4 linked regions of the Schizosaccharomyces pombe genome follow. The gene in region 2 interacts genetically with the main gene of each other region. Each region holds a gene or a part of one and is shown on either strand. Other genes may lie near its edges.

Region 1 (8,183 bases), 2.2 Mb from region 2:
ACATGTTTTTAGACGAGGAAAACAATTCGTAGCAATTTCTTCAACAATTTTTTCAGGCTCAACTTGATCAGTCAAAGTTGAATGTTGAGGACGAGAATATGCTTCTTGAGGTTCTTGAATGCAATTGAAATTTGGTTGAATAGGTGAAGTCGCAGATGGTAAATAAACATAAATGCGGCCTTCATTTACTTCACTGTTGTATTTTATAGATTGCTGCTCAAGCATTCGCACAATTGCAGGTCGTAGTTTTTCCACATGATTAGCACTGTGATTACCGCGCCCAACTATACTAAAAAAGAGTTAATTTTAATTAAGCGTAAAACATACATATGTAAATGATTGTCACCACGTCGGATGCAATTCTCAATTCGCTGTTGTACTGCTTGTACAGCTTCATCGATGTACAGACCATGTAAATCAATTTCATCGGGATTGCATTGAGAGTTTTTATATAAATAAATGGCTGAAGCCGCTATCAATAATTAGCACAGTCATAAAACACTTCTATTTTGTTTTCTCGAAGCCAATATGGGTTTGAAGAAACCCAGTGTTTTAAGTTCTATAAAGAAGCCAACCCATTTTTCTCTTAAATCACATGGCTTTATTCAGCTGTTTCAGAGCTCTTCACTTTGTACAAAGAATAGTTCATTGTCATAACTACTATTGTTTGGCGTATTGTCTGACCGATAACTACCGGAATTAGATACCAAACAAAAAGAGTGGAAAAGAAAGAAAGAAAAATCTCATGATGGGTTTGTTTTTCTATTATTGAAAGTTTATAGGGTTTGAACTAACAATCACAGCTTTTAATGAGAATTTGAGATTACCTTGTCGATTATAATTTTCCATACGCTCTCCACATAACTTTCCTTCTTGGCTTAGTTCATGCGCTTTAGCCTTGTTTCCTGCTGAATAGGCATGCTGAGCTTCTTGAAATAAATACCCTCGTTTTTCAGCCTCTTTTGACGCCAACGCTCTAAACTTTTCATACTTCAATAAAGTTAGTTACACCTAATTTCTCCTTATCTCTTTGATTAATAATTACCTCCTCCATTTCTATTGTTTCAGGTGTGGTACTAGACAATGAAGTTAACAATAGGAAATCTGAACAATGGAGTACCACAAAAAATGTTATATAATTCAGCTAGATCTCTGACAAAGATGAAAAATAATTTTTAAGAACTGTCTAAACAATAGTAAATCCTTTTGTTTTTTGTTTCGAATCTGTTTAAACTACAATTTTGCAATTGTTCGAACAGCATTCCATTGGTGTGTTTTGAGTCCATATATTTGGAAATTTGCTGTATATCTTCAAGCGAAAATTTAACTTTTGAGACATAGAAGTGTTTTCTGGAAATTCTAAACAAAGAGGAATTATTGGCATAACAGTTCATTGGGAAACTGAGTCATCAAGTGCTTTACAAATCACATTTTTAAACTTCTTAAACTAAAAAAATCTCGGGTTTATATTGTTCTTGCTCCCTCTGACATTATGAGACAACCATGGTGGAAAGACTTTACTATTCCCGATGCATCCGCAATTATTCACCAAAATATTACCATTGTCTCTATTGTAGGAGAGATTGAAGTGCCAGTTTCAACAATTGATGCATATGAAAGAGATAGACTTTTAACTGGAATGACTTTGTCTGCCCAACTTGCTTTAGGAGTCCTTACCATTTTGATGGTTTGTCTATTGTCATCATCCGAAAAACGAAAACACCCAGTTTTTGTTTTTAATTCGGCAAGTATTGTTGCAATGTGTCTTCGGGCCATTTTGAATATAGTGACCATATGCAGCAATAGCTACAGTATCCTGGTTAATTACGGGTTTATCTTAAACATGGTTCATATGTATGTCCATGTGTTTAATATTTTAATTTTGTTGCTTGCACCGGTCATCATTTTTACTGCTGAGATGAGCATGATGATTCAAGTTCGTATAATTTGTGCACATGATAGAAAGACACAAAGGATAATGACTGTTATTAGTGCCTGCTTAACTGTTTTGGTTCTCGCATTTTGGATTACTAACATGTGTCAACAGATTCAGTATCTGTTATGGTTAACTCCACTTAGCAGCAAGACCATTGTTGGATACTCTTGGCCCTACTTTATTGCTAAAATACTTTTTGCTTTTAGCATTATTTTTCACAGTGGTGTTTTTTCATACAAACTCTTTCGTGCCATATTAATACGGAAAAAAATTGGGCAATTTCCATTTGGTCCGATGCAGTGTATTTTAGTTATTAGCTGCCAATGTCTTATTGTTCCAGCTACCTTTACTATAATAGATAGTTTTATCCATACGTATGATGGCTTTAGCTCTATGACTCAATGTCTGCTAATCATTTCTCTTCCTCTTTCGAGTTTATGGGCGTCTAGTACAGCTCTGAAATTGCAAAGCATGAAAACTTCATCTGCGCAAGGAGAAACCACCGAGGTTTCGATTAGAGTTGATAGAACGTTTGATATCAAACATACTCCCAGTGACGATTATTCGATTTCTGATGAATCTGAAACTAAAAAGTGGACGTAACTTACGCCTGAATGTATCTTTTTTGATAATTCCTAATACTGGCTCAATAACAGTCCCAAATAACATAGACGGTTTTTTTACGATAGGCTTGTAATCATAATTTGCTCAGAGGGAAGTTTTCTAATGGTTTTTTTTTTTTCGCTTCATGAACAATTGTTTACTATAAACATCAATGAAATTATATGATTATAATAACTTATTATCATGAAAACTTCAAGTCGTACTTCACAAACACTTATTAAAACAATAGTGAATGAACTGCCTTCGTAATCTATAATGAACTATAATGTTTTGAGTCTCCAAGTGCTTACCTTACGAACTTTTTTTTTTATTTAAAGCTTCTTGTACCGTAGAAGCCATATCATTCATCGAAGAAGCTAATTCCTTTCTAAGCATCGTTTGCTTTTGTACTTTGGCCGATTGCATTAGCAGTTCTTCCAGACGTGATTTAAACGTTTCCACTATATACACGTAAGTATTGAGCTATTAAATAAAAATTATAACCAACCTGCTGACAATAAAATGTATTTATCCTCCATTTATTTTTATCAAATATTGTATCGAAATGTTTTAGCTGCGAAACGTTACACTCCTTAATTTAGTAATAGCAATATAATAAGGATCTTTAAACCGATATGTGTTATTCTCAAATTGCATTGCTCCACTTATTTCAGTAAACAGATGACAAATATTCAATAATGGTATATGTCGATAATTATAATTCTTTTGTTTAAGTCTTGTATTCAATTTAATGCACACATCTAGTTACTAGAGAAATAAATTCTTTATTAAATCGGTTCCGCGATTCTTCATTTTTGCACAGCGCTCCTAGTCATACCAATCTCATAATAAACGATCGAAGTGTTACCTGCACATTAAACAAACAAATAGAGTCCGTGTTTTTCTTTTAAATAATAGTAATACTATGTGAAACGAAGAATCTTTTAACTAATAAGCGATAATATACATTACTGCCGAACAATTATAAATGCACAGTTATGGCTTTGAGTATAAGGGGTAACGATACTAATGCTAAGTACAATAGAAGATAAGATCATTAACCGTAAAAACCTTTGAGCTATTCTTTTTGCAGCCAATTGTTAAATTAATTTAGATACTTCATTTCTGTTTTATAATTCTCAAGATTACTGCACTTCGCTTTCCTACGATATTACATATTTACGATATATCACCGAATGCTCTGCTACAGTTGCAGTGCTGCTGTGTCATACGGTATATGGCAGATAGTTACCGCCGGTACATTACATAGGGGTGGACTTAAGAACTAACCTTTCACCAACTACACGAGACGTTTATAAAATGGAGTCTGCTCCCATTGTTCTAGATAATGGAACTGGTTTTGTGAAGGTAATCAGTTTAATTAAATCTTTGTTTACACTGTGACTAACGTTAGCAAGGTCGGATATGCTAAAGACAATTTTCCGCGCTTTCAATTCCCATCCATCGTAGGAAGGCCCATTTTACGTGCTGAAGAGAAAACAGGAAATGTTCAAATTAAAGATGTTATGGTCGGTGATGAAGCTGAGGCGGTGAGATCTTTACTTCAAGTAAAATATCCCATGGAAAATGGCATTATCCGTGATTTTGAAGAGATGAATCAACTTTGGGATTACACTTTCTTTGAAAAACTAAAAATTGATCCGAGGGGTAGGAAAATTTTGTTGACCGAGCCCCCTATGAATCCTGTTGCTAACCGCGAAAAAATGTGTGAGACAATGTTTGAACGGTATGGTTTTGGTGGTGTTTATGTCGCCATTCAGGCCGTTCTCTCTTTATACGCACAGGGATTAAGCAGTGGTGTAGTTGTTGATTCTGGTGACGGTGTAACCCATATTGTGCCTGTCTATGAAAGTGTTGTTTTAAATCATTTAGTTGGTCGCCTTGACGTTGCCGGTAGGGATGCTACCCGCTATTTGATTAGCTTACTTCTTCGTAAGGGTTATGCTTTCAATCGTACAGCAGACTTTGAAACTGTTCGCGAGATGAAAGAAAAACTTTGTTACGTTAGTTATGATTTGGAATTGGACCATAAGCTTAGCGAAGAAACTACCGTTTTAATGCGTAATTACACCCTTCCTGATGGAAGAGTTATTAAAGTTGGTTCTGAGCGTTATGAATGTCCAGAATGTCTATTTCAACCTCATCTGGTTGGTAGTGAACAACCAGGTTTGAGTGAATTTATTTTTGACACTATCCAAGCAGCTGATGTGGACATTCGCAAGTATTTGTATCGCGCCATTGTTCTCTCAGGTGGTAGCAGTATGTATGCCGGTCTTCCTTCACGTCTTGAAAAGGAAATAAAACAGTTATGGTTTGAGCGTGTTCTTCATGGAGATCCCGCACGTTTGCCTAACTTTAAGGTTAAGATTGAAGACGCTCCTCGTCGCCGTCATGCCGTGTTTATCGGCGGCGCCGTATTGGCAGATATCATGGCTCAAAACGATCACATGTGGGTGTCCAAGGCAGAATGGGAGGAGTATGGAGTACGTGCACTAGACAAATTGGGTCCTAGAACTACTTAGAGTATATTTATGTTTAATGTTCTGTTTCTTTCTTTTTATGTGCTAGTAAATTGAGTTATACGAAGTTTGATTCATAAATTTCAAACTTTGCTAAATGATTACGTTTTCTGTTTAATCCGACCATCGTTAAAAGACGGTACGATTCCTTCTTTTATTTGCCTTTTTGATTCCTTTTTCTTTTGATGGGCTATTTACTTATGCTTGATGTTTATACAACCTTTTTGTAACCAACGATCTTATTTACTCAATATGCACTAGTACACTTCAATAGCAACAGACTTAATGACTAGACTCCCGTGACGTATATATTTGGTTTCGCCCATTTAGGGCGTTTTCTTATTAGGTCCTAGTTTTAACAAAAATAGCTTGACATTCTGAGCTTCTAGTTTTCTGAAGATTGACATCCACGGAAAACATGAGTAACATTTAAAAGCAGGAATTTCTATTATTGTAAATAAATAAATTACCGACCTAATTTTTTTGTTAAATTGTATATATAAACCATTAATAATGTGTCCAAGACAGCCTAGAAAAATTAATGCTCTTAATTAAGCACGACAGCATAAGAGGAGTAGAAATTGCCGCACAAATCGACTGAAATTTCTCATAACGGTGTAAGAGGAATTCATTAGGAAACAAAACGACGGAACATTGAAACAACCTTAAATAAATAAGAACAAATATAAAAGTGTAGTTTACGAAGACAAAATGCCTCGTGAAACCGACAGATGAAAAACAACGTGAAACCGAAAATATGTGAATAAAAAATGAACAACATAGAACAACAGTAATGAAAATGAAAATATAAAAACAAAGAACAAAAGCAAAGAATAAAAAAGGAGAAACGACTGGAGTAAATAAGAGAAGAATCCAGAAGAAGTAATTTAAAGTTGCTTCCATTGTTCAATTATTCGAAGAGCTGTTTGAAGTTCCTCAGCTACAGCAACAACATTTTTCCGCTGGAACGCCTGCATCCACTGTCGTTCATAATAAGCATCTTCCACGTCATCGTTTTCGAGTAAATAAACATGCTTCAAGTTAAGATAAACGCCAAGTAAATGTATCTGATAAATATCAGTTACAAAATATGGGTACTTCACAACTTGGGACACCACGTAGTCAAATAAAAGTTTGGCTTGATCGTCGATAGTAGAGGAATCGGGAAAAGATGGAGGCTGCCAAAAGTGCAATGTATATTTAAGTTTATAATTATCATAAAATGAAACAGGCAAATTGTGATCTTTGGATAGAAATATCAGTATATCAGCTGAAGTTTTTTTATGCTGCTTAATATCTGCTAATTCAAATAGCAAAGAAGAAGACGCATCAGGGGCAAAGGCGACAACTGCACCACTTAACTCAAGATATCGTGAATCCGATAATACCCGAGTGGAGACAAGGTACTTATCCGGAATTGGTCGAATCTTTTTGAGTGCAAGTTGACATTCATCGTCGGCATATTCAGCATAATTGATGGGGAAAGAACGAACTTTGAACTTTTTAGCCTCGTCAAAAGGAACAACAGAGTCCATGACATGATTAAACAGATGAAATGTGAACCTTGCAGGAGTGGCAGCATTCAAAACTGCAAAGTACAAAGGATTAAATAAGTCGCTGCCATTATTAAAAGTTGGAAGAGAATCGTGAGCATTATTAGAAAGGGGAAAACATATATCAGAAAGGACATTAATATTACGTTCTTTCAAGTACCAGTTTTGGCCCATTAAAGTAAGAAAATTATCAGAGGCGGCAAAGCATGGGCGGTTGATCAAAACAACATTGCGAATACCTCCTAACTGAGCATCCATGGTGTAATAAAAATTACGTTTTAAAGCTGACAAATGACGATGATAAATAGGATATTCGGTTTTCAGCTTTTTCATAGTAGTGTTCGAATAGAAGATTAAAGGACGAAGTAGAAGAATGAGGCTTCCAAATAAGAATAGTCGAAGACACCATCCGCCGATACCATTACCAGCAAAAATCCGTAATGGAAGGCCCATATCAATTGGATGTGAGCATAAACAGAATAAGAAAAATCAAATATGAATTAAAAGAAAGAAAAGAAGAAAAAACCAAGTATTCTTGAACCGATACTCACTATTCTATTTTAACAAGTGTGATAACAGTTTTGGAACCAGTGTGAAAACTAAATAAAGAGGAAAAAATTTTTTTAAAACCCTTCAATACAAATAATCGACACACAAACGGAAACGAGGATAAGAAAATGAGTCAAAGGGGGAAACCATATAAAAGTGTAAAGATGATACCAATGACTTCTCTGGGCAGGAAGAAGAAGGAACGAATGAAAGTAGCAAATGTCTAACCAAAACAAAAATTAAACGAGAGAAATTAGAAAGTTAGAAGATTTCCTTTTATTTGTATTATGAGCCGTGGGAGTAAAAAAAGCAACGGCAAATGAAGAAAAAAAAAATTAAATTAAGAAGATGATTAACGAAAAAAGACGAATTTTCAGTAGAGAAAATATATAAGAAATACCTTACTTTGTTGAGTTTTAATCGGACTTCGGTCTCACGAAATCACGACAGGCTAGGAAGAAAATTTGAAGAGTGGGGCTCAGAGCATTTATACTTGGAAGATGCGAAATGAGTAGTTAAAAAAAGACTTGACCAAATTTTATAGTTCCCTTGACCGTTAAATCTTTTCCCAATATTCTATACAATATATGGGAGGGTTGATGTACAGAGGATGAGTTTGAATTCACTGGTATGACCAAAGTATGCGGCAATCAAGGACTAAGGCTGGAAAGAGAAGTAACGCACAATCTAACCTTAAAGTAACGAAAAACAAGGATGCAAAGGAGCTTAATGAGTGGTAACGAGACTTTTTCAATCTGATATTTAAAGATTTAGGAAGCAAATGCAAAGAGAAAGAAGAAAGGAGGTGCAGATTAAACAGTGAAAGTGAGAAGGTACGAACAAAAAGAAAAAGAAATTTGAACGCGTGCGTACACAAGAGAAAGAAAGAATGAAGCGAAAAAAATAGAAAGAGAGACACGCAAAGACGGAAAAAGGGAGAGAGAGAAAAATAAAGGACAATCTTGTTTAAACACGAGGACGCGCTTTTTAAACTAATGAATC
Region 2 (7,223 bases):
ATCTTACAATTACTCCTCGTGCCACGACTACGACTCCTGATATTTTAATCCATTCCCTATGTGTCTATCTTTATAATAATGGTGTCAGTTTACTTCGTACCCGTGCTATGCTGTGTCATATTTATCATGAAGCATTGCAAAATCGTTTTTACAAGGCTCGTGATATGTTACTTATGTCGCATTTACAAGATAGCGTGCATGCTGCCGACATTGCTACTCAAATTTTACACAATCGCACTATGGTTCAAATTGGTTTGTGTGCTTTCCGCAACGGTATGGTTCAAGAAACACAGTATGCTCTTCAAGACATCTCTACTACTGGTCGTGTAAAGGAACTCCTTGGACAAGGCATACAAGCACCAAAGTTTGGACAATTTACACCTGATCAGGATCGTTTGGATAAGCAGTTGGTTTTACCTTTCCATATGCACATAAATCTAGAACTGCTTGAATGTGTTTACTTGACTTGTTCTATGTTGATGGAGATTCCCGCAATGGCAGCTGCTAGCTCTACTGCTTCAGATTCTAGAAAGCGTGTAATCAGCCGACCCTTCCGTCGTATGCTTGAATACATTGATCGTCAGCTTTTCGTTGGTCCTCCTGAAAATACCCGCGAGTATATAATGCAAGCTTCGAAAGCATTGGCAGATGGTGAATGGCGTCGTTGTGAAGAATTTATTCATGCTATTAAGATTTGGAGCTTAATGCCTGATGCTGACAAAATTAAGCAAATGCTTAGTGAGAAGATTCGGGAAGAGGGACTACGTACATACTTATTAGCATATGCTGCTTTTTACGATTCTGTTTCTCTTGAATTTTTGGCTACGACATTTGATCTTCCTGTTCAGCGTGTTACTGTTATTGTTTCTCGGTTATTATCTAAACGTGAGATCCATGCTGCTCTTGATCAAGTTCACGGTGCCATCATTTTTGAACGTGTTGAGATTAACAAGCTGGAAAGCTTGACTGTTTCTCTTAGCGAGAAAACTGCACAATTGAATGAGGCAAATGAAAAGCTATATGAGCAGAAGACCCAACACACTAATCCTCAGGAGAACAGACGTCGTGATAAGGGTGGCTCGGTTAAAAGACGCAATGAACGCACCGAAAATCGGAATCGTTCAGACATGAATTAAAGTTGTTGTGCATCGGTGAAAAATAGGGCGATCTAATTTCAATAAAATGAATGACTATTTGTCTTTGAAGAAAGTATTTAACTATCAGGTGGTTTCCATAGATCAATAGACATCTGAGTTACTTCATAGTGGTTTTGTTACAAACGTTAATCGGAAATAATGTAGTTTACCGTTTGGTAATTATCTTCAATTGTAAAGATACTTTGCTTCGAAAGTCTGAATCTGTTGACCATTATACACGTTTACAGTAAGCTATTTCTGCAAGCTTTGTTCTTCAGTTTCATATGGTCGCCTTTTTTCCATCGACTGAAAACAGACATGATGTGTGTAATCGAATTTTTGGTCGCTAGTACGAGCTCAATCTATCGGTGTATGGTTTGAAGTTGTTTTCTTTAAAAAATCTATTACTGAACGAAGTATCTCTAATTGTGTTGTTGAACCTCTAAACAAGAGTTCTGAAATTCTATTGAATACTTCTGAAGTCGTATTAAGCATAACAATCCTTACACAATACATTCACACGATCTTGAATGGTAAACCTCTAACGAAGTCAACTGCGATAAGTTTCATATTATTTCTAAAAATGAGGGAAACTTTATAAGAATTTTTTTATCAATGTTAGAACGTCTTAGAGCACCTTAAATTGGTCATAGGTTTCAAACGCATGTAGAACGGGTAGCTGCTACTTTCCGTCACCCTACTACTACAAGTTTTCCTATCTCTAAACCCAGATTTGCAAAAATGTCTTGGCAAGGTTTGTATATCCTCTAGATATTATTACGAATAATATCTAACTTATTTAGCTTACGTTGATACTTCTTTGCTCGGTACTGGAAAAATCGATCGCGCTGCTATCGTCTCTCGTGCTGGTGACAGTGTTTGGGCTGCTTCTGCTGGATTCAATCTTTCTCCTCAGGAAATCCAAGGCCTTGCCGCTGGTTTCCAAGATCCACCTAGTATGTTTGGCACTGGTATCATTTTAGCCGGTCAAAAATACATCACTATTCGAGCTGAAGGACGTTCTATCTATGGTAAATTACAGAAAGAGGGCATTATTTGTGTAGCTACTAAGCTTTGCATTTTGGTTTCTCACTACCCTGAAACAACCCTTCCAGGAGAAGCCGCCAAGATTACTGGTAAGTTTTTCTCAGTTTACTATTCTTAATTAGCACAATTATTAACAACGCAATAGAGGCTTTAGCTGATTATCTTGTTGGTGTTGGGTATTAGATTTTGACATGACAATCAATATTACTGCTATTTCATTTAAATTATCAGATAAAAGTAGTTTTGGATCCTTTCTCATTTTTGAACAGGTTTCTGTTAGTAGGATGTATATCGTTTGTAGAAGATTGCCATGTGTAAATAACAAATGTTAAACTTTTTACTTTCCGTTTGCGAAATAATATTGCGTACAAATTAAAAGCAGTGCAAACATTTTAACTACTAACTTGAGCCAAATTACATTATATGTAAATAAACACAACAATATTTAGATATTTATCTTTTCGCAAAAAAGAGGGTTTGAATAGGAAGAAGTCAGTTCATTAAGTGGAGGGTAACGTGATAGATTTATCTACATAAGCAATTGCAAAAAATCAAGTACTACATATACTTATAAAAATTATTTTACAATGATCCATACACTAGACAAGCCAACAATCTTGACTGTGTAAAAATTCTTTGCAAAAAAAGTGCTCCCGGCGAGGATCGAACTCGCGATTTCCACGTAACACACCTCCTAAGGGGAGTATCATATAAGCATGAGGCCTTAACCAGCTTGGCCACGGGAGCTGTTGCTTGATTTGTAGCAAACTATATAGTATATATAGTGTGTTTCGCAAAGTTGAAAATATGACAAAAAAATAAAAACAAGTTGTAAACAAATGTATTGTTAAGAAGTTAAACGACATTTTCTTTTAATCTTTTGAGATTCTTTTTTTTTTTTTTTTTTTTTAATAAAACTTTGGTTTTTGATAGTTCATTTGAAGAAACTCAGCTTTTCTGAATTTAACAAATTATGTTTGCAATTTACTTACATTATTAAGTGTTTTGGTATATTAAAATGCCAATGAAAGAGTTGAACTGGCCTAATAAATTTTAAAGTAACTTCTAAATTGCTACCAATTTTTAATTATTATTTTTTTTAATATTTTTATGCATTAATAAAACGTGAAAACCCTCGAATTTAAAGAAGTCCCACAATACGGGCAACTATATTTGTTACAAAATAGTGCTACTTCTTAAATTAGGTAAATAATTAGCGTACAGATTTTTCTATTCATTGGTAGACATTCTTCACACCAAGGTAAGAAACAGTGATATTAAACAAAACGTTACTTTTTGATATCCTATAACTTTGACTCAAAACCAAGTCTTCTAGAGCAGCATATTGTAGTTAAAATAACTAATTAAATTAACATGATAAATAAAGTAGTACGAAAATTTTAGAACGCTTTCTTAAACAAGAAGCTAATACTTTCACCGTTATGGGTACGGCGAATAGCCTCTGCAAGTACCCCACTAATATCAATAACAGTAAGTTTGTCACATTCCAGGACTGCTTGTGGTTTGATAGGATACGTATTGGTGACAACAATCTATTGTTACGTTAGTCAGCTTTCCGTGATATTTGACATTACCTGTTCAATGTATTCACAAGATTGCAAATCTTTTAAACATTTATTTTGAAAAATTCCATGGGTACCAATCACTATAACTCTTTTAGCTCCACATCGCTTAACCAAATGTTCGGAAGCGACAATGAAAGCTGTTGGATTTTCAATTGTATCGTCAATTAATAAGGCGGTTTTACCGTTCACATCGCCGACAAGGGTGATCATACGTTCAGCATAAATGGACGCAGACATAATGTTTTCCTCTTCATCATCATCACTGGGACATCCTCCCTGAGAATACAAATTAACTTCTTGAGCATAATCTTCTGAACAAACACTAGCTGGGGTAGTTATAATTTCTTCGTCATCGATAATATGTCCCAAAAGGTACTTAGCAGTATGGATACGAGGACGATCCAAATATACAGAACAATTAGTAACATGTGTTTCAGTTGCTTCTGTTTCATCCATAATGGAATCTTCAAAATTTTGGGAAAAATGAGAACTTCGTTGTCTATCAGTGTTAATCAATGCAAAGTCCAAATTCAAAGTATCCGCCAAACTGGTAACTCTTTTGGCACCACCAGGATTCTTCGAAACTACTACCGCTTCTTCCCAATCATCGACGTTTCTACGAATCCATTCAGCTATGTTAGGCTCTGCATATAGATTGTCGACTGGGCGAGTGAAGAATCCCTGCATTTGAGAAGCATGCAAATCAAGAGTAATTATATGATCAACACCAGCAACGGTTAATAAATTGGCTACCATTCTAGCTGTAATGGCATCTCGATACTTCCGCATTTTAGATTGTTTGGAATAAGGAAAGTAAGGCATGACAGCTGTGATTCTTTTAGCAGATCCACCTTTACAAGCGCTTATAATAATAAGGAGCTCCATTAAGCTGTCATTTACAGTGGAACTTCCACTTTGCAAAATGAAAACGTCCTTATCTCGCACTGACTCACGAATTTCAACGCTTGTCTCGCCATTTGCAAACCTTTTTAGAGATACATCACAAGGTGTAATTCCAAGTCGGTTAGAAATGAGATGTAAAAGTTCAGGATGAGAACCGCCTCCAATGATTGTAGCACTCTTCATATTCCCTATAATATATTTCCTCAACTTACGGTTCCCGAATTTCAAAATCTACAAAATTACTCAAGTGAGCTTCAAAAAACTATATATGTGCTAGAACTACGAGAAGTAATTATATTATCGTTTTCCCGTTAAACAGATGCGTCTAGGTATAGGTAATTGAGTAAAAAGAAGAGTGTAACTTTCTGTTGTTTTTTATTTGCCAGTTTTAAGCATCGGTATACTTATTTAACGTAACTGTAAAATGGCACGCTAAAACGATAGTTTCTTTGTTTTCCCAACATGCTAGATAGGTCACATGGACTCATAAATTGGCATTCCTAAAATGTTAGATAAATATACAAAATCAGCTGAAATATTACTATTAAGTCTAGAAAACAAAAATAATTTAAATTTGACAAAAACTTATTTTTAAAAATGTTTGACATTTTTCGCTTCTTTTGCGTTTAGTCATAACAGTAGTCGCGGTAGTGTTCCAAATATTATAATAGCGATTTCTAAGAGAGTCGCTATATTGAGTGTTTGCCGTAAGCTGACTGAGCGACGAACGTGCTAAGAGCGTAATACTATTCTTTAATCATGAATTCTATCGTATCTAAGTATACACAAAGTACTAACAATGATGACCCAAAAAAAATAATAGAAGAAGAAGGATTTACAAATCGATTTGATGTCGTACCAGTGCCTCAATCTTCTCTTTATTTACGAAACTTAACAGATGAAACGAAAAACAAGCATTGTCTTATTAAAATGAATCATGGTACTACTACTTTAGCTTTTCGTTACCAACATGGTATCGTTGTTTGTGTAGATTCGAGAGCATCTGCCGGTCCTCTTATTGCTTCACAAACCGTTAAAAAAGTTATAGAGATAAACCCATATCTTTTAGGTACTCTTGCTGGTGGTGCAGCTGACTGTCAGTTTTGGGAGACAGTTCTAGGAATGGAATGTCGTTTACATCAACTTAGAAATAAGGAGTTAATCTCTGTTTCTGCTGCTAGCAAAATTCTTTCAAACATTACTTATTCATACAAGGGTTATGGACTTAGCATGGGTACTATGCTTGCTGGAACAGGAAAAGGTGGTACTGCACTTTACTACATCGACAGTGATGGCACCCGATTGAAAGGTGATTTGTTTTCCGTTGGTTCAGGTTCTACATTTGCGTACGGTGTTTTGGACTCTGGATATCGCTGGGACTTATCTAAACAAGAAGCTCTTTATTTAGCTCAGCGCTCTATTGTTGCTGCCACTCACAGAGATGCATACTCTGGTGGCTCAGTAAATCTTTATCACATTGATGAAAATGGTTGGGTCTTCCATGGAAACTTTGATGTTGATAGTCTTATATGGGAAGCAAAAGATAACGAAAACTCCTTTGCTCATATCCCTCGCTAAACTCATGCTTGCTAGTAGTCATGTGTCATCGGTGTATTAAATGAGACGTTGTTATTTGCTATTCCCTTCTAGGTCAACTGTCATTTATTCATTTATTTTATACCCTTATATTTGAATGTCGAAGTCAATTCCGTAAACTATACATCGTTTGTAACTTCTTTCAGAGAATGTACAATTTCACATTGCCATATATTTGATTGACTAGCTTAACATGACTTGAAATGAACCTTGTTTTCAAATCTGTTTTTATCAGTATTCGAGGAGGGGGTTATATTACCGTGTAAGTTATCGTTCATTAATAAATCTATACACACCATATGATAATTGTTCCATTAATGTGATGAGTACTAACGATTGTTAAACAATTAAGCTGCAATTGGGATTGTTTAGCATTTAGTCAACTTAATGATTTTCGCTGAATAAGATTATTTTATGTTGCGGTATGCTATGAGTTTCACTATAGTGAGTTTTTTAACGATTCGATAAAAACTATACAGATTTGTAAAAAGCTATAGCAAGAGTATCGTTGCTTCCTAAAGCGTCGTTATGTTGTCACGGTACTCTACTTGAAAGCATATAGTACTTTCGTTTGTAACACGTTTGCCCTTTTTATTATATCGCCTTTTTTTACAATGAGTAACGTTTCCAGTGAAGATGGAATTGCTCCTGAGACACAGCTTATCATTGATGACCCTGATGTCCAGCAAATCGATGCAGATGAAGATCTGCTTGATGATGTGCCGGACGACGTCGATGTAAATGATATCTTTAAATCATTAAATTGAAATATAGCTAACCAACTTAATATAGTGCGTAGAGCTTATTCAGTCTCGTATACAAAGCATGGCATCTCTTGGACTTGAAAGATTTAAAAATTTACAGAGTTTATGTCTTCGCCAAAATCAAATCAAGAAAATTGAATCAGTTCCAGAAACATTGACTGAATTGGATTTGTATGACAACTTAATTGTCA
Region 3 (4,170 bases), 470 kb from region 2:
ATTGTCAAACGGAACACGAGATATTAACAAAAGAGGAACAATAGCACCACCTTTCCACAGTCTACAATATAATGGTGGTAGACGCGTCGCAACACAGAAAAGAAACGTATCTTTGGCAAAACAAAAAAAAAATTTTAAAGTCAGTTCCTTTCAATGAAGAGACTACCAATTCCAATTTTTTAACCTTTAGGATAAAAAAGCGACAATTCTAACAAACTTCGACAAACCATATCAAAATCCTAAATCACCAGCAAAAAATCCAAATTAAGAGTTGGACTGCCCTCACTGCCTCACCCACTTCACCTGTCATAAACACAAACAAAACTACTTACAAAACAAAATTGCCACGTTGACGTATAAGCTACAGCAATCAACACAGCAACACTGAATATCAAATTGCTAATAGTACACAAAAACAAGAATGAACAAAATTAATGCCGGCTAACCTTCACAACACACGCGCGCATAAACTGCCTATTACACTAAAACAAGCAATATGCAATATTTACTTCGTTGTATAGCGCCAAACAATAACAGATAGCACAAATGACTTAAGATTTATAGCGACTTGGCTTCAAAGGGACAAAAAAGTAGTGCCCTATAACAAATTAACGATTAATAACGATATCGAACTCTTCCGCGCGACTAGCAATTTCAAGAGTCGAACCGAGGAAAAATGTGGTTTGCAGAGGGAAGGAGGAAACATGTTGGTATAAGTCACCGTTGTCCTCAGGGTTAGGGTTTTGATGTGAATCAACATTGCGGCGGATGAACGATTAGATGATAATTTCAATGGAGGGCGACTGACCAATTATCTTTCTCCTACGTCACCACTGGCTAAAGCTATCAGGCGCAACGCAAATCGCGGGGTGTTATTGTAAACAAACAAAACCAAAAAATTCGGCCAAACTATGTGTTCTGCAAGTAAACAACTTAATAATAATACAATTAAAAGATAAATGATCAACAATAATTGCAGGTTAACTTCTTACAAAATTTCGATAAAAGTTTCAAACCCACAAAGCACATTTTCTGTTTTAAGTGTTTGTAATCACACACTCACTGCTACAACAACAGTAATTACAGCCTTTGTCAAGACAATAAACAGATAGAAATACGGAAAAGTGCAATTATCCAATGTAATCCTCCAATGTACTGACAAAAAGGTTCAATCCAGTTTAAGCAAGGTTAGAAATGTTTGTTTACACAATTGGTTTCAGCCGTGCGCTAGTAGTCTTAGTATGGCCAAACATACGAAAAAAGTTAGAATGCAAGATTCGAACTCGGGATTTCAAGAACTCCGAACGGGACAAAGAATCTTATGGAACGGAATGGAATCATTTCTCGGTCATTTGAGAAACCGTCCTACAATCTGATTGGTTAAAAGGACCACACCATGAAAAAACCCATGTGATTTTTGCGAATCAGAAATCGGTGAGAGATGGGAGTTGAACGCTTGTACATAATTACGTGACAGTGGCAAAATCTAGGCTCTCCCAAAATTTTTGATCACAGTTAATGTTCCGCAAATTTTTAGAACGTTGAGTCGCGCTATTCCATTTGAAAACCGTTTAACAAAACAAATTAAATGTTCTTTATTTCTAAGGAACGCAGTTTGAAGATATACGAACACTAAATTCGTAAGTTGTCATACTGCATAACGACAGTAAAACGTTATTAAAGGTTGAGTGGATGCTAAAACAGAAGGTGAGATGTAGATAAAGATCAAAAAGCAGTTAAACAATGCATTTGTTAAGGTTATAAACATAAGAATAGATTTTAAAAGATCCATAGTTTAAATAAAATGAAAGACCATTGCTTAAAATGAAAGAAGGACGTTTGTTATTGACTTTTTTATGACTTTACATGGTTTGACTCGTAGAAAATCCAAACTTTAGATAGAAAGCGATTCAAGCATTGACTTTGGCATATAATTCTCCTTGTTTCTGTATTAAGGAATTTAACCGATATACAGAAAAGTTTTGTATTCGTTGCCAATACTAAATTTAACTTGAAAATGTTCAATATTGAAAAATAGACAGCTTATTGAAGTGACCAACAGTAGCATCTAATAAATTCTTGACTTTTTCCGCTTGAACAAAATGTGCTCTTCTTTTGATTATTTTTAACAGCTCATTGATATTACCAGTTTGATTATAAAGTAAGTTTGAGGTTGGTTTTTGCTACGTTGTCATCACCAGAGGGTTCATCGTTCAATGTTCACCGCCATATGTTGTTCACTTTCTAAACTTACGCAGAAAGCACCAGAGTACAAGTACCTCACCACCAGTCAGTCACCTCTACTATTTGTGTACTGCACCGTGAAGAATCTTCGTAATTTATGCGACGAATCTAAAGTTACTTCCTATAATCATTAAGGCCTCACTTTTATTCTGAGATCGCTATCCGGTTGTATTCTTTTGTTTAAAGCATTATATCATCAACTCACCATGAATGTAAGTATTACTGAAATTAATTACCTTGCCCAATTTTTTTGTTATATTTTTATTATATAGCCATCTGTAAATTCATCTTATCATTGAATGCATATTTCATCGATTTTCGTCAGTATTGCTCAGAGACTTTATGAATTTGCTTTTCACATTCTTTGTCGTTATCCTTCTTTACAATATCAGCTAACTTATTCTTTTAGTCTGAAGACGCTGCATTAGATTTACTCCGACGATTAAACCCAAAAGATATCTCTAAAAACCTAGACACAATTCTTTCCGTCGCTCCCGATTTAGCTGATGTCCTTCTCTCGTCTGTTGATCAGCCTCTAAAAGTAAATACTTGTTCTGAGTCAGGTAATCAATATTTGTTATGTGACTTTAACAGGGATGGAGATTCGTACCGCTCACCATGGAGCAATAAATATGATCCTCCTTTGGAGGATGGTTTAGTTTCTACTGATCGAGTTCGTAAATTAGAAGTTTCTTTGAATGAAGCAATCCGTGTCTATCTTGATCTTTATTACGAGGGCGGTGTTAGTAGCGTTTATCTTTGGGACCAAGACGATAGTTACGCAGGCGCCGTTCTCATAAAAAAGGGTATTTTTATTTTCTGTCAATTTCATTATATAATTCTAACTTCATTTAGCTTCTACTTCTAACTCAAGCGGATGGGATTCTATTCACGTGTTTGAATGTCTGCCTACCACGGAAACCAACGTTTATGATTACCGACTTACAAGTACTATTATCCTTTTCCTTTCATCTGGCTCGGAGGAACAGTCTGCCTTGCCTTCCAAAGCTCTTAACCTTTCAGGTCATTTGACTCGCCAAACTTCTCAACGATTACCAGCGGCAGATGATGACACTGAGATCGCTAATGTTGGCAAATTGGTTGAGGAAATGGAAACTCGGATGCGCAACTTCCTCCAGGATGTCTACTTTGGAAAAACTAAAGATATCATCAACCAGACTCGTTCCATTCAACCCGTTTCCGATGCCCAACCAAATGATTCGGCTTTGCGTTCAGTTTTAAACGATCTTTCCATTTAGGATTGCTTTTTGTTTTCTTTCCGTGATCTTCTCATAGTATTCGTTCCATCTTCAACGAAAATAGTCATAGAAAGATTGACTAATATAAATAAATACACCGATAATCTAATTTTTTTACAACAGTTTTAAAAGAAATTATTGAATTTAATTGTTCAGTAAAAAAGTTTATATAAATAGCATTAAAAAATATACGTTAAGAGACTTTATAAGAAAGCTGTTAATCGAAGATCATGTAAAAAAGGTCATGAAATAAGCTGATATGGTTTAGACGAGGAACGTGATCGAAGAGAGGAGTAATTTATTGGAATTGGAAGACGCGCCAGGTATAATCGGTGAAAAAGGTCAAAATCCATACCCATCTTGTAATGCCAATCTGGCTTTTGAGAAGTTAGCGGCTTGGTACGTAGCTGAACTAACCAGAAACCAGTATACTGCATTAACTCAAAAAGCTGGGATTGGGTAATTCCACGGGGAAACGAAAAAATGCCACAGTTCCATGAAATCCAAACTATGTTATACATTATATACAACATTTGTTCCGATGAAAATGAAGTCATGGGTTTTTGATCAGGCGAAGGGAGTTGAAGCGGGCATGGTAAGGGAATACTGGTATACTGAGCTAAAAATATACAAATAAAGGATAAAGTTAAAGCACAATCAGGATTTA
Region 4 (4,978 bases), on a different chromosome or scaffold from region 2:
ATTTTTCGGGAAATACCCCTCAATCACCACAAATAAATTCTGCTGCTTTGAAAGTGGAAACAAAGAATAGCTGGACAGCAATTTCTGAAGAGACTGAAGGACTTCAAGATGACGAAGAGTATAATGGTATTCCTGTCGATGTAAACGAATTGTTAAACGTAGAATTCATATCGCAAATACCAATGAGTACGGAAACAAGCTCCAGTTCAAGCCCGCAGCCTACGGAGGAACGGAAAGCAAAGTTCAAACCCAGTTTTACTCAAGGCACATTCGTCTCAAAGCGCATGCGTATGCATGCGGAGGATTTATTCTAGAAAATAGAAGAATGCAATTGATAAAAAAGAACTACACTTCTACAATTTAGAATATCGCTTTTCATATAAACAAGGTATGACTGATGTTAAATTTATCCATTTTTAACTACCCGTAATACTATTATACTTTAATGACAACGATTTTTGTTTTCTCTTTCATCAAGCATTGTATTGAATAACTTATAGACGAAGAATGCTATTGCTGCTGTGCAAACTGGCTTTATCAATTCGATATATAAACAGTTTTCGCCATGCATGGCTAAGATCGTAAAGTTCAGCATCACAAAAAGTTGGAGGATCATGTTTTAAAAGTGAGTATAAGTACTTGTAATTTTAGACACTACATTTTAGCAGGGGCTTCATCGGCTTTCGCCTCAGCACTTCTCTTGGAGTCGGCAGTATCGCTTTCCGACTTTACTGCTTTTCCAACGTCATCAAAAAAGTTGTTAATTCCATGTCGCACACGTTCAATACCATAAACAATCTTGTGGTCGGCTTTACGAACGTCTTCTTTACCTTCGCGTTCCATTATTTATAATTTCAGAGGATGTACAAAAAATTCAAGGTTGGTCGTATTATCAAAACTTCGCAAATGTATAGGGACAAAAGCAATTAATAACTTTAATCTCACCTAGTGTTTAAGTGTGATAGAATGAGTATTTATCACCAGTTGTTTTGTTAAAGAATAAACCGCCGAAGCCGGGCGGCTGCTGTATATATAGTAAACATATCAGCGTCCCTACCGCCAACCCATGACGTAAGTCGGGTTATTAAGAAATGCGATCTCGTGAAATAAAAAATAAGATTGAAAATAATGGAAATTGGAAGAAAAACCGAGAATTACAAGGGCGTTTTGTATGTACCTGATAAATGAATATGTTTAATCTATTTGACTCACATAAACGTTGTATTTATGTTTTTTTTAGTGTTTATTTATTTTTTCGATTAGTGTATTTCACTAAGTAAACAAATTATTATACGATTTTTTATTCACATCGAATGATGCTGCAGGTACAAATCGAGCTATCTAAAAAATATTACTTTTCAGTACGCCTGAACCGCTTGCATAGTATATTAAGTTTTTGATTAATAGCATGTTGCATTCCATTCAAAAATTTAATATTTTACATAGTAAAACGATTTGAGACGGGAGATAGCTATACAGAACGTGAAGTCTGCAAATACATACATGCTAAATCATTGTTTTATTAGCATAATGTCTAAGTCTATAAGTTCGCTTACCGGAGTTTATGGTAAGTATTTTTTTTCAGGACTGCCTTGGGTCGCTTCTCAAATCACAGTATTCACACATAATCAATACAAAATAGTGAGCAAAACTTGTGCGCTTAACAGAGATAACAATTATAGAGTCTCAAGGATGAATAAAGTGGACTTTGAATGAATCAATTGTTCACCATATATATCTCAGCATTTGAAGGCTTTTTATCTTTCCACTGCAATATTCTATTGCTTTTTTTTGATAGTTTAAGGCTGAAAAATCTTCATTACATCGGTTTTCTTGATAAATTTGTTAATTGTTGACATGAAAAGCTGCACCTGGCAACGCGTTGCCGTTTGTTTACCTCGTTGTTAGTTTCATTTACAATCAACACCACCACCATATACGAATAAAGAATACTGCCATAAAGGCGAGATTGAAAAATCTCTTAATTCGTGTTTTTTTCCGTTTACATGTCTCAACAATTAAGCTTTAATGCATCTTCAGCAAAGCCTGATAAAAGTTTTTCAAATTACTTTTGGGTATGGTGTCTAAGCCAACGTGGATAGCTCATTATCTGCCAAAACTTTCGATTTTTGTGTTAAACACAACACCTTAACTAACATTCTTTATTAGGGTGCAAATGATGAGGGTTATCATGCTTTACTTTCGCGTTTTAGCGATGTGAAACACATTAATGAAGAGCTTCGGTCGTTTTATCATGAAAGGTGAGAAATTTGAGGTGAAGCAGGGTTTAACATGCTATGATCGTTTATTCTAACTTCAACCTTAGAGCGAACATTGAAGAAGATTATGCCAAGCGAATGGCAAAGTTGTCTCGAACAACCTTCAGTTCTTTGGAAACTGGTTGCCTCAAAGAATCAGTCCAAGTTATGAAAGCTGAAGTTGACAATATGGCAAAGTCTCATTTGCAGATTTCTCAGTTGCTTCAGGATGATGTCGAAAATGCGTTTACGCGGTACGCTGCCTCTTTAAAGGACAAGAAAAAGATGATCGTTTCGGGGATAGAAAAAGTTCATAAGGATAAACTCTCCAAGCATCAAGCTCTTGTTAAAGCTCAAGACAAATACCATTACTTGTGCAAGAAAGTAAATTACTATGTTTCTCAGCAAAACATGCTTTTCGGAAAGGAGCTAGAGAAGAACAATGCGAAATTAAACAAGACTCAGAATGCTATCACTGCTAGTTCTTCTGACTATCAATCAGCTGTAGCAGCTGTCAGAGATTCATACGCTCGTTGGACCAACGAATGGCGGTCAACCTGTGACAAACTTCAGGACATTGAAGAAGAAAGAAGACATTTCCTGAAAAGCGTCATGTGGACATTTACACTACTTATCTCTCGTAGTTGCTTTAATGATGATCAAGCATGTGAACGAATTCGCAAAAATCTTGAACAGTGCAGTGTCTCTCAGGATGTTTTGGAATTTATTGACGCAAAATCTACAGGAACGGGAATTCCTCAACCTCCAAAATTTTATGACTATTATAAGGGCGAGGTTCCCGATGATTCTGTAGAGTTGGTTCAGGCTAATTTTCAGCGGGCCCAAACCAAAATAGAAAATGACAACATGCCATTGAATCGTCCATACGTCCTTTCTGCCACCGCTCGTAATGAGTCGTCCTTCGAAAATACCCTTCCTAATACTCCTAGTGCAATTCAATCGCTTACCACTGTTTCTTCTAACTCTTCCCAAAATGGTAGAAGCTCTCCAAAGAAAAGCTTTTTGAGTAAGTTTAAATTAACGAGTCGTCCTTCGACTCCAAACGTTGGTAATACGGCTCCGGATGCATTATCAAGTCCGAGAAATGACTCTCCTTTAACTTCAGCGGCTGATGAACAGATGAAGCATCTTTCTTTACAAGAAGAGCCAAAACAGAATCCTACGCCTGCTGCTCCTGGTGCCTTCCCTAACTCTAATACACTACCACCAAGGTATAACGAACTTGGTTCTCTACCAAGTCCTAATTCTGTTTCTTTCACCGAGGACTCCCGCCCAAATGTTAACACTCCATCACGGCGTCAACAAATTCAGGAAGAATTTGGTAGTGTACTACAAATGGAGAATCGTGCGGTTTCACCCGTTTATGATTCAAGAAAGAATGGATCTCGAAGTTCATTCACATTGAGGAAAAGTAGGTCACCAAAACGTCCTTCCTCTTCCCTTTCTCAGAATGCCAGCCGACTTCCTCGTTCCTTAACACCAGGAAATTTAGAGCCAAATTATGATTTCGGTGTTCGAGTTGATCCAGCAAGTGGTACTGCACCTACCGATGACGAGCCTTATACTGATCGGGACTCTTCCTTTGTTGATGATACAATAAATACAAAAGCTACTGGAAACACGTCTAACCGACTTTCTTTACCTGCATATCCTACAGACGGCGGTGACACCAGTATTGATAATCCAACAAGTACAGATGGTCAACGTATTCTTGGTTATGGTATGTCTAATCTGTCCATCGCTATTACAATTACTAACTTGAATTTAGTATCTGCTTTATATGATTATGATGCTGCAATACCCGAAGAGATAAGCTTCAGGAAGGGAGATACCATTGCAGTTCTTAAGCTTTATGAAGACGGCTGGTGGGAGGGATTTGTCGTTGGAGAGGATGACCATAACCGTGGGCAATTTCCGTCAAATTTTGTTCGTGAAATCGAGGTTTAGCTTTCGTATTATAGTTTCGCATTTTCTCATCTTTTCTCATTCTCATTTAAATCTAAAATACTAGATTTCTAATTTTGGTTGTTTTACATTATAGGATATTTAGAATGCTACACGTTTAGTTAAGTTATCTACATTATAAGATTATTATCTTATAAATCTTTATGAATTTTGCAGATTAAAATGATACCGATTGTTATATATAGCATTATGTTCAAAATGATTGAATTATTGTCATTCATTGCACCATTTTCTACCTAAATATTTCTAGTAATTCTCGTTTGCTTCTAAAATTCTGTAATAACTTAAAAAACATCAAATCTTTACCAATCTAAGTTAACACACAGGTCTATAATAGCTTCATGTATAACTAATTACTATTTCCTAGTAAGCTGTGACAACGTGGCCGAGTGGTTTTAAGGCGTTCGCCTGCTATTCTGTAGCCCAGCGGATTCCCTTTGGGAGCGCAGGTTCGAATCCTGCCGTTGTCGATATCTTTTTTAAGTTGCAAAGCGATTCACTATAAATTTTTGCGGTTCTATATTGGAAATCGCTATTCACTGTTATTTTTGTTACTTAGCAAAGTGGTTTTGTTGTTATAACTAACGTCTCCAACGATAAAAGACAACAATCTGCTTGTATTACTATAAATGCAAGATTCTTCCTCTTACGCGAGGCGTATGTTTTCTTTTTTTTCTTTTGACTAATAAGTTAACAATAAGTTTAGGGTATTCACAGGCACCTTCTTCATCTAA

What was found.
Region 1: of cdc3 (region 2) and arp2, a mutation in one rescues a mutant of the other (synthetic rescue), as found in Schizosaccharomyces pombe (one study listed by BioGRID).
Region 3: mutations in cdc3 (region 2) and acp2 are lethal when combined (synthetic lethality), as found in Schizosaccharomyces pombe (2 studies listed by BioGRID, with this or other methods).
Region 4: mutations in cdc3 (region 2) and imp2 impair growth when combined (synthetic growth defect), as found in Schizosaccharomyces pombe (one study listed by BioGRID).

Annotation. Positions count from the first base shown.
Region 1 is NC_003424.3:4,779,196-4,787,378, forward strand, and holds arp2 (ARP2/3 actin-organizing complex actin-related protein subunit Arp2), read left to right. Parts: upstream 1-3,826; 5' UTR 3,827-3,859; coding exon 3,860-3,907; intron 3,908-3,931; exon of another isoform or gene 3,932-3,957; coding exon 3,958-5,082; 3' UTR 5,083-5,570; downstream 5,571-8,183. Other genes in the region: SPOM_SPAC11H11.03C (uncharacterized protein), read right to left, coding at 1-289, 328-472, 828-990, 1,046-1,054; pheromone p-factor receptor Mam2, read left to right, coding at 1,493-2,539; protein Fta6, read right to left, coding at 2,852-3,000, 3,048-3,078; Golgi 4,6-pyruvylated galactose (PvGal) residue biosynthesis protein Pvg5, read right to left, coding at 5,967-7,085.
Region 2 is NC_003424.3:2,574,133-2,581,355, reverse strand, and holds cdc3 (profilin), read left to right. Parts: upstream 1-1,830; 5' UTR 1,831-1,877; coding exon 1,878-1,890; intron 1,891-1,939; coding exon 1,940-2,272; intron 2,273-2,328; coding exon 2,329-2,366; 3' UTR 2,367-2,400; downstream 2,401-7,223. Other genes in the region: tif303 (translation initiation factor eIF3c), read left to right, coding at 1-1,136; SPOM_SPAC4A8.14 (ribose-phosphate pyrophosphokinase), read right to left, coding at 3,584-3,736, 3,779-4,855; pts1 (20S proteasome complex subunit beta 5), read left to right, coding at 5,432-6,250; serine/threonine protein phosphatase PP1 regulatory subunit Sds22, read left to right, coding at 6,883-7,005, 7,061-7,223. UniProt on the Schizosaccharomyces pombe protein: Binds to actin and affects the structure of the cytoskeleton. At high concentrations, profilin prevents the polymerization of actin, whereas it enhances it at low concentrations. By binding to PIP2, it inhibits the formation of IP3 and DG.
Region 3 is NC_003424.3:2,103,530-2,107,699, reverse strand, and holds acp2 (F-actin-capping protein beta subunit acp2), read left to right. Parts: upstream 1-2,266; 5' UTR 2,267-2,450; coding exon 2,451-2,456; exon of another isoform or gene 2,457-2,653; coding exon 2,654-3,050; intron 3,051-3,099; coding exon 3,100-3,503; 3' UTR 3,504-3,670; downstream 3,671-4,170. Other genes in the region: protein Atg14, read right to left, coding at 3,746-4,170. UniProt on the Schizosaccharomyces pombe protein: F-actin-capping proteins bind in a Ca(2+)-independent manner to the fast growing ends of actin filaments (barbed end) thereby blocking the exchange of subunits at these ends.
Region 4 is NC_003423.3:3,345,975-3,350,952, forward strand, and holds imp2 (F-BAR domain protein Imp2), read left to right. Parts: upstream 1-1,925; 5' UTR 1,926-2,006; coding exon 2,007-2,075; exon of another isoform or gene 2,076-2,169; coding exon 2,170-2,261; exon of another isoform or gene 2,262-2,326; coding exon 2,327-3,999; exon of another isoform or gene 4,000-4,047; coding exon 4,048-4,226; 3' UTR 4,227-4,478; downstream 4,479-4,978. Other genes in the region: SPOM_SPBC11C11.01 (U2-associated protein), read left to right, coding at 1-314; protein tam11, read right to left, coding at 655-843; protein Ndc80, read left to right, coding at 4,874-4,901, 4,951-4,978. UniProt on the Schizosaccharomyces pombe protein: Required for normal septation. Involved in the disassembly of the medial ring during septation.